Drosophila melanogaster: one gene and its partner. The protein of the gene in region 1 interacts with the protein of each later gene in a pairwise test. Each region holds a gene or a part of one and is shown in the gene's direction. Other genes may lie near its edges.

Evidence for each region.
Region 2: the proteins of Spn42Dd (region 1) and eIF2Balpha interact in a two-hybrid assay, tested with the Drosophila melanogaster proteins (one large-scale study listed by BioGRID).

Annotation. Positions count from the first base shown.
Region 1 is NT_033778.4:6,881,401-6,885,521, forward strand, and holds Spn42Dd (serpin 42Dd), read left to right. Parts: upstream 1-1,879; 5' UTR 1,880-1,929; coding exon 1,930-1,942; exon of another isoform or gene 1,943-2,007; intron 2,008-2,213; coding exon 2,214-3,058; intron 3,059-3,116; coding exon 3,117-3,258; intron 3,259-3,328; coding exon 3,329-3,447; 3' UTR 3,448-3,473; downstream 3,474-4,121. Other genes in the region: Spn42Dc (serpin 42Dc), read left to right, coding at 363-1,238, 1,309-1,450, 1,520-1,713.
Region 2 is NT_033777.3:29,933,964-29,937,965, reverse strand, and holds eIF2Balpha (eukaryotic translation initiation factor 2B subunit alpha), read left to right. Parts: upstream 1-2,077; 5' UTR 2,078-2,138; coding exon 2,139-2,172; intron 2,173-2,231; coding exon 2,232-2,333; intron 2,334-2,395; coding exon 2,396-2,607; intron 2,608-2,674; coding exon 2,675-2,829; intron 2,830-2,884; coding exon 2,885-3,155; intron 3,156-3,214; coding exon 3,215-3,361; 3' UTR 3,362-3,384; downstream 3,385-4,002. Other genes in the region: Vps13B (vacuolar protein sorting 13B), read right to left, coding at 1-451, 509-1,792; CG42558 (uncharacterized protein), read right to left, coding at 3,506-3,727, 3,877-4,002.

The DNA of each region.
Region 1 (4,121 bases):
AGTTCTAGTTGACTTCACTTTACTTTCTACATCGGTTCTATTAAAAATATAATAGGGAATTATTATTATTATTTTAAAATAAATAGTAGCACCTAGTAGCAGTTGTAAGCTAATACGTCATTCTGGGATTTCGGATTTATTTTTAATTAGCATAGGCAATTTTGAAAATGTTTTATTTTATTAAAGATTGAATCCGAATTCGAAATTGTTCTGGATTGATCAAGTTGGCGCTTAACAGCTGGCGATAATGCCAAATGAGATAATGAGATTTGGCCCGAAAATGTCTTATTTTTGTATACTTATGTTACATTTAAGTATTTAAAAATATAAATTAAAACATATATTTTTTTGCCCAGATCGAGATGAGCGAACCCCAAGAAGGCAGAAATCAGTTTGCGCGAAATCTGATAGATGTCATTACCAAAGATGCCCTGCAACAGAGCAAAGACCCCCACATAAATACGGTTTTCTCTCCAGCATCCGTCCAAAGTGCATTGACCTTGGCATTTATGGGGGCTTCCGGATCTACAGCAGAGGAGCTAAGGAATGGGCTTCAGCTAGGACCAGGAGATCGCCATCACATAGCCCTAAACTTCGGAGAGTTCTGGCGCACGAGCTGTAACTACGGCGACAGGGGACCCGTGTTGAAGTCCGTGAACCGATTGTACGTCAACGATTCCTTGGAACTGCTTACCGAGTTCAACGAGATCGCCGTGGACTTCTTCCAGTCGAAGGCCGAGGCGACGAGGTTCGCCGATTCGGAGGGAGCTACGCAGCTGATCAACGACTGGGTGGAACAGGAGACGGAGCATAAGATCACCAACCTGCTTCAATCGGATGCCGTGAACAACGAAACGAGCGCCCTGCTCATCAATGTCTTGTACTTTAAGGGAAAGTGGCAGAAACCATTTATGCCAGAGACCACATCGATTGACCATTTCCACGTGGACCGGGACACTCACGTGCAGGTGAATATGATGTACCAAGAGGACAAGTTCCGGTTCGCAGAACTGCCACAGCTGAAGGCTCGAGCTGTGCAACTGCCCTATGATTACTCAAACATTCACATGCTAATTCTGCTGCCCAACGAAGTAAACGGTCTGCAGGAGTTAGAGCAGCAACTCAACACCGTGGATCTAGCCGATATTGACGCAGCGCTGACCTTGCAGGATGTCGAGATCTTTCTGCCCAGGATGTGCATAGAGTACGACGTGGACCTCAAGCAGGTACTTAATCAGGTAAGATACATTTAACCGATAATAGTGGCTTTGTTTTAATAACAATGTAATATCTGATATTTATTCTCAGCTGGGTATTACGGAAGTCTTCAGCGATAAGGCCAAGCTAGACGGGCTCTTTACCTCGCAAAGTGGCCAAAAAATCTCGGCAGCAAGGCACCGCGGCTACATCGACGTAAATGAGGCAGGATCGGAGGCAGCAGCAGTCAGTTGTAAGTGAAATCAGCTGCTTGCAACTCAAACTTGCTCGTACTAATCTCAACTCTGATTCCCACACTCAGTCATGAAGATAGTACCCATGATGCTCAACATGAACAAGAAGCTCTTCAAGGCGGATCACCCGTTCGTCTTTTACATACGAAACCCGCAGGCCGTCTTCTTCGCCGGCCGATTCTCGAACCCCAAGTCTGGATCTGGATCAGGAGAGGAGGGCTTGTCACGGGAAGGTTTCGATGCCAACATGTACAATGTCTAAGAACAGCAGTGAGACCGAATAGAACTCAGCTATGAAATCCCACTAGACGTCATTGGATTTCAATCCGAGAGAGCTGTGTGCGCAGTTCTCAGTAACGTAATGAAGTATCGCCAGTAGGTACATATATGTCCAGTGCATATATGAGCTCGTCTTGGCACTCGGCGCTCAGTTTACAGAGATACTTATCTCGGGGAAGAGTTCGTTGTAGACGGTCAAATGTATTACTTGTGTAAGTGGCGATCGCTTATAGCCAGTGAATTAAAATACAAAGCAATAAATTACCTATAATAACTTATGATTTAAATTAAATTCATAGAAAATAATAAAACAATATGGTGAAGACGTTTGCTATGGCATTAACTTTTAACTTACAAAGACTATCCGCTTTCGTTGAATTCGATTTGCTTTAGTCTGTAAAAGTAAAAAATATCAAGTTTAATATGCATGAACAGAATTTCCGAACGCTGAAAACGAATTGATAATTAACATCCCCAAACTAGGCATTTTCCTGTGGGTCACTTCAGTGGCATGTCAGACCTCCAAAGAGATCTACCAACTACTTTCCAAGAGCCATACAAACCAGAACCTCGTCGTCTCGCCCGTCTCCATAGAGACCATCCTTAGCATGGTCTTCATGGGCGCAGAAGGCTCGACGGCCAAGGAGCTGCAGAGCGCCTTAGGTTTACCATCGGAGGACAAAGAGGCGGTGGCAGCCAGGTACGGTGCTCTCCTCAACGATCTTCAGGGACAGGAGGAGGGACCCATACTAAAGCTCGCGAATCGCATCTACGTCAACGACCAGTACAGCCTGAATCAGAACTACAACCTCGCTGTGAGGGAACCCTTCAAGTCCGAGGCGGAGTCCATTAGTCTGACCAATGGCCCTGTGGCGGCCGAGAGAATCAACCAGTGGGTGCTGGATCAGACCAGTGGTAAAATCAAGGGCATGATCGATCCCGGCAGCATGACGTCCGACGTGAAGGCCTTGCTGGTGAACGCCATCTACTTTAAGGGCCAGTGGGAGTCGAAGTTTGACCCAGCTAAGACCAGAGCCTCCACCTTCCAAGTAACTGCGAACAAGAGTGTGCCCGTCCAGATGATGGCGCAAATGGGAACATTCAGGGCTAACTACTTCCGCGATCTAGATGCCCAAGTCATCGAGCTGCCGTACCTTAACTCCAACCTGTCCATGACTATCTTTCTGCCCCGAGAAGTGGAGGGCTTGAGCGCCCTGGAAGAGAAGATCGTTGGCTTCGCCAGGCCGCTGGTTGCCAAGGAGGTCTATCTTAAGCTGCCCAAGTTTAAAATCGAATTTCGTGATGAACTCAAAGAGACCTTAGAGAAGGTAAGACTCCGTCAAGAAAAACACGGTTGTGCCACTTTGACGCTCGATTCTATTTAAGCTGGGCATCCGAGAGCTATTCACCGACAAGTCAGACTTAAGCGGCTTGTTCGCCGATAAGTCAGGCGGCAAAGTCAGTCAGGTCTCGCACAAGGCGTTTCTGGAGGTGAACGAGGAGGGAGCGGAGGCCGCAGGTGCCACATGTAAGTACCGATTTGGTTATCAGCGTCGAATGTTGACTCCTATATACTCACTGTTCCCAATGATTCCCAGCTGTGGCCGTCACAAATCGAGCGGGATTTTCTACGTTCCTCATGGCCGATCATCCCTTTGCCTTCGTCATTCGCGATGCGAACACCATATATTTCCAGGGGCGTGTTGTAAGCCCTTGAATAAATAAAAACAATATTTAAATTTTAAATTAAAATTCCAAGCGGAGTGATTACATTTTAAGTTAAGGATCAATGTGGACAGCAGTCCACGTTGTGACGGAAGGGTAACGCAGCGAAGGTAGGTTGTCCAGTAGGTTGGTAATAGGGAGTAGAAGTGGTATTTTGCCAAAAATAAAAAGTGTAATGATTTCTGATTCTTCGTTCGGAAAAGTTTCAAATATGTTAATTTTAACTCATTTAAATACGCCATGTATTTTAAGTGTCCTGGTGAACCGAGCGATTTTATTATTATTATATATTAAAAAAAAACGACTAGTTTAGCGGAGAAAAAACACTAAAAAGTTAAACATCCACCACCAATGAACCTAGAAGCATTCGATAAAAGTCGTTAAAAAGGCAATTTAAAACACTATTCTCGGTTCCTAAACGTATTATGTCTAAATACCACAGATAAAAAACAAGTGAAAAGCCTTTCTCGAGTCCCTCGCGTACCTGCAAATTGGAAGTGGTATGTATGTGATATTCGAGCTACTCGACTACGGCGGTCTCTCCAGTTTTTAATAAACAAAATTGATATTTTTAAGCCGATACTAACGTAAAAAAAAAGTAAAAAGACATTCACATGCTAGCGATGGACTTAAAATCTCTTGGGAAACAGAAATTAATTTCCCCAC
Region 2 (4,002 bases), on another chromosome or scaffold:
TACAAGTGGGCACCAATCCCATCAGATACTCCAGATCAGGTATAGTCATTTCAGAGTTCTTGTTTTCCGGCTCGGGGACACCGCGATCCTCATCCTTCATCGATTCTGAACGATATCCCGGGTAATCGTAAGGACGAATTAAATCACTAATTACCTTTTTAACCTGGACGAACGACTGCGAAAAGTGGAACGTGATTCCGGCGGACAATAGACGATACTGGATGCGAACTCCCAGATCTCTGAGCTGGCTCTCCGCCACGGGATGGCTGCTGGGCTTAGGCACCCGGTGCTCGATGACGTCGAAGGCCAAAACAGGACTGCGAAACAGCATGTATTCATCCGTGTTCCTGGCCACGTAATCCGCGTAGTTGTAGCTGCACCAGGACCGTTCGGCGAACATGTAGTTCTCGTCAAACAGACTCTTGTCAATAAAGGATCGCTCTTGCTGAAACTTTATATAAAAAATAGTAAAGAGTGAAGGCAATAAACAGTCTTAGGATCAACTCACTTCCTGGGTATTGACCAAGTTGCGATCCACGAGATCGTCGCTACGGTAAGCACCTAATGGCTCCATGCACATGCTAGAAAGGCCCGCCTTGACGTTGGCCCAGTCGCACTCCTTTAGAATTGTCCGCTCGTAATAAAGTCCGCCCAAACTAATTCGCAATATTGGGGTGTATCGTATTCGCTTGATGCCACCCATGCTCTGGTCGGTAAAGTACTCCGAGTTTTTAAGCTGGAAGTTCAGCTCCTCGGCGTAGACTCCCAGATCGAAGGCGTGACCAGTGGGAGTGTCGCAGGACGAGGAAGGCGCCTCAGTATCGAAACTGGGCAGTAGGCTCCAGGCCCACCAAAAGACGCTTCGTCCTGCGGATTCGGTCCCCTGTTGCGACTCGCTGCCCTCAGCTACCGCCTCCTGATCTTCTGGATTCTGGGGGTCATCCTCAAACTCGGCTGGCTTAAGCTCGAGCAGCATTTTGACCAGCCTCATCACCATGGGGAACTGCAGAGATGACACGTTGATATCCAGCGACTTCGTGAAAACTCCAATGCGTGTTGTGCTTGTTGTGGACACCGTGTTGGCGTTGTACTTGCGGAGAACCCGGCACTCCAGAGTACATCGGTAGAGAACCGGCTCCTGGCACACCTCTATCCTACCAGCTGTGTTGCGCTTGTCCAAGCAGATGGTCAAATCTGAGACCTGGAGCAACTTGCGCATGACGACGGACACCGGGTGTATGTCCACCATAGTGGGCTTCCAGTCCTCGCCGGCGGAGCTAAAGTTAAGGGTCTGCACATTCATAGAGACCACGATGTCGTCCTCCACATACTTCAGGATGATGTTGTGGCACTGCAGGTTGATGTTGTTGATGATTTTGTTGACCACGCTGGAAGAGCTTGCCGGTCCAGGACTCTTCGTCTGATCCGGCTGCTCCACGGACTCCCGCTTCGATTTCCTTCGCTGCTCCCGCTGGAAGGAGGCCCTGCGCTGCTTGCTCTCACTATCCGGCAACTTGGCCACGAATTCTATGGTATTGATGACGATCTTCACGGGCTCGGACATAAGCTTGGTCCACGGCACCAGGATGCTGAGTTCATGAATGTGGCCGGAAACTAGTTCTACTGGGAGGTTCAGCTCTTCCTCGAGCACCTCCAGGCGCAGGTCCAGATTCTGGAAGGTGACCTCGCCTTCCCACAGCGACACTTGGGCATCCTCGTCGCGGAAGTTCTTCACGTACTTGGCCACGTAGCTCAGCAGAATCGGAGTGATGTAGGACTCCAGTTTGAACATGGTGTGGCGACGCCGGAGGCTCAGGCCTCGATCCCAGCGCTGTTGACTGCTCACTTATATGACACTCTTCATTTAATGCGTTGCCGGCGGTTAACTTGAATTTACATGCTGTGAATTTTGCTACAATTCTGGGCCGAATATGTTTAACAAAACAAACATAGCCATAGAATTTTGGATTGTTTACGTTTCAGCCCCGGCAATCTGCCAATCGTTATCGTTATCGGAAGGTGCGAATTGGCAATCGATAAATTAACCTGTGAATTGCGAAGTGTAAATAAGCCTTCGAACAGCTGATTATTTTGTTGACGTTTAACGTGCAGCGGTAGGCTTTCACAATTTCATAAAAATGCCGCAAATTACGGAAAATGGCCAGGATTTTGGTGAGCTAAGAATGGGTCTAAAGTTACGCAGAAGTGATAATACAAGCTTTCACCCTTAGATGTGGTCAAATACTTCCTGCAGCTCCTGGACGAGGACAAGGATCTGTCCTCCGGCATTGCGGCTATCAGGACTCTGCTAATGATCCTGGAAAAGAAACAATGTTAGTGGGCTAATAAACCTCTTTACTGAACCATTTTAAATCATCTACAACATATTCCTCAGTTGGAACCATTCATATTCTACACACAACCATGAGGGAAGCGGTGGCTGCCATGCGGAATACGGATTTGTCTATAGCAGCCATTGTTTCTGCCGGAGAGCTCTTTTGCAGGTTCATCACCCTCAGTCTGGACGACAAGCACATGGAGGAGTGCCGGCAGATTATGTTGAATCGCGGAAAAATCTTCCTCACCAAGTTGCTCAATTCCCGGCAGGTTGGCTCTCATACGAAAAGCTAGTGCTAGCGCATGAACTAACCCCTCATTGTACCACCCAATCCAGGTGATTGCCCAGCAGGCCCAAAGGTTCATTACCGATGGCTGCCGTATATTGACGCACTCCCGATCCCGGGTGGTCCTCAAGGCGCTGATTACAGCCTCGCAGAACAAAAAGTCCTTCCACGTTTATGTGACGCAGGGCGGCACGGGAAACTCTGGGTAAGCTAGGGTGTGTTTCCGATAGAATTCAGGTGTAAGCATTGTCCGTTCTTAGCGAAGAGATGGTTAAGGATCTGCATGCGGCCGGCATCGATTGCACGCTCATTCTGGACTCAGCCACCGGCTATGTTATGGAATCGGTGGACTTTGTGCTTGTGGGGGCTGAAGCCGTGGTGGAGAGTGGTGGCATTATCAACCGCATTGGCACCTACACCATGGGTCTGTGCGCCCGTGAGATGAAGAAACCTTTCTACGTTCTGGCCGAAAGCTTCAAGTTCAGCCGTCTGTATCCACTCAATCAGCGCGATCTGCCAAACGAGTACAAGGTAGGTTCTTACTGCGTCATTAAAGCAGGAACGGCGATTAAGAGTGGGTTTATTTATAGTACTCCCGCAAACACCTAAACGATGTAAGCAAAGTGCACCCGCTGGTCGACTATACGCCACCCGTCTACATCACCCTGCTCTTCACCGACCTCGGAAGACTAACACCCTCGGCCGTAAGCGACGAGTTGATCAAACTCTACATGTAAGGGCGAATAAAGATATTGCACTTAAATACCTTTGTTTAATATGACTGTTTGAGATGAATAAATAGGGGCTCGACATTACTGAATGTACATAAGCTATAAAGCTAGTTACTCTCGCTTACACCTATGTAGAATTTATATTGTGTCTTAGAACCGCATCCTTCGCGAATAGCTCGCGTCTACCTCGTCTTCTGACCCCCAGGGATCGTAGATGTCCACGCTGTAGTGGGACGCTTCGCTGTTGCCATCGTCGTTTGTGTACTCCTCATCTGTATAGATGTCACTGCCGCTTTCGTCGTCCGACCAGTGATCGTGCATCCTAAACTGATCGTCGAGGCCATCCTGAACGTCGTCCACATCGCTGGCATTCTAAACAAAAAAAATACCAATTTATAATGCCACATATGCATTTTAATAACAAGCAACAATAACCGTAAAAAAAACATAACAATCAAGTAAACAGGTTTTAAAATACGAGTATCAACGAATTAGATTTGCAAGACAACTGCATCACTCACAAATTGCCCGGACTGAATGTTGATCTCGATCTGCAGGCGGATGTCCATGACGAGAAATGCAGTTGTGACTATGACAGGGATGGTGAGACGACTTTTCCAAGCGAGGTCCGTGAGAAACATGAAGAC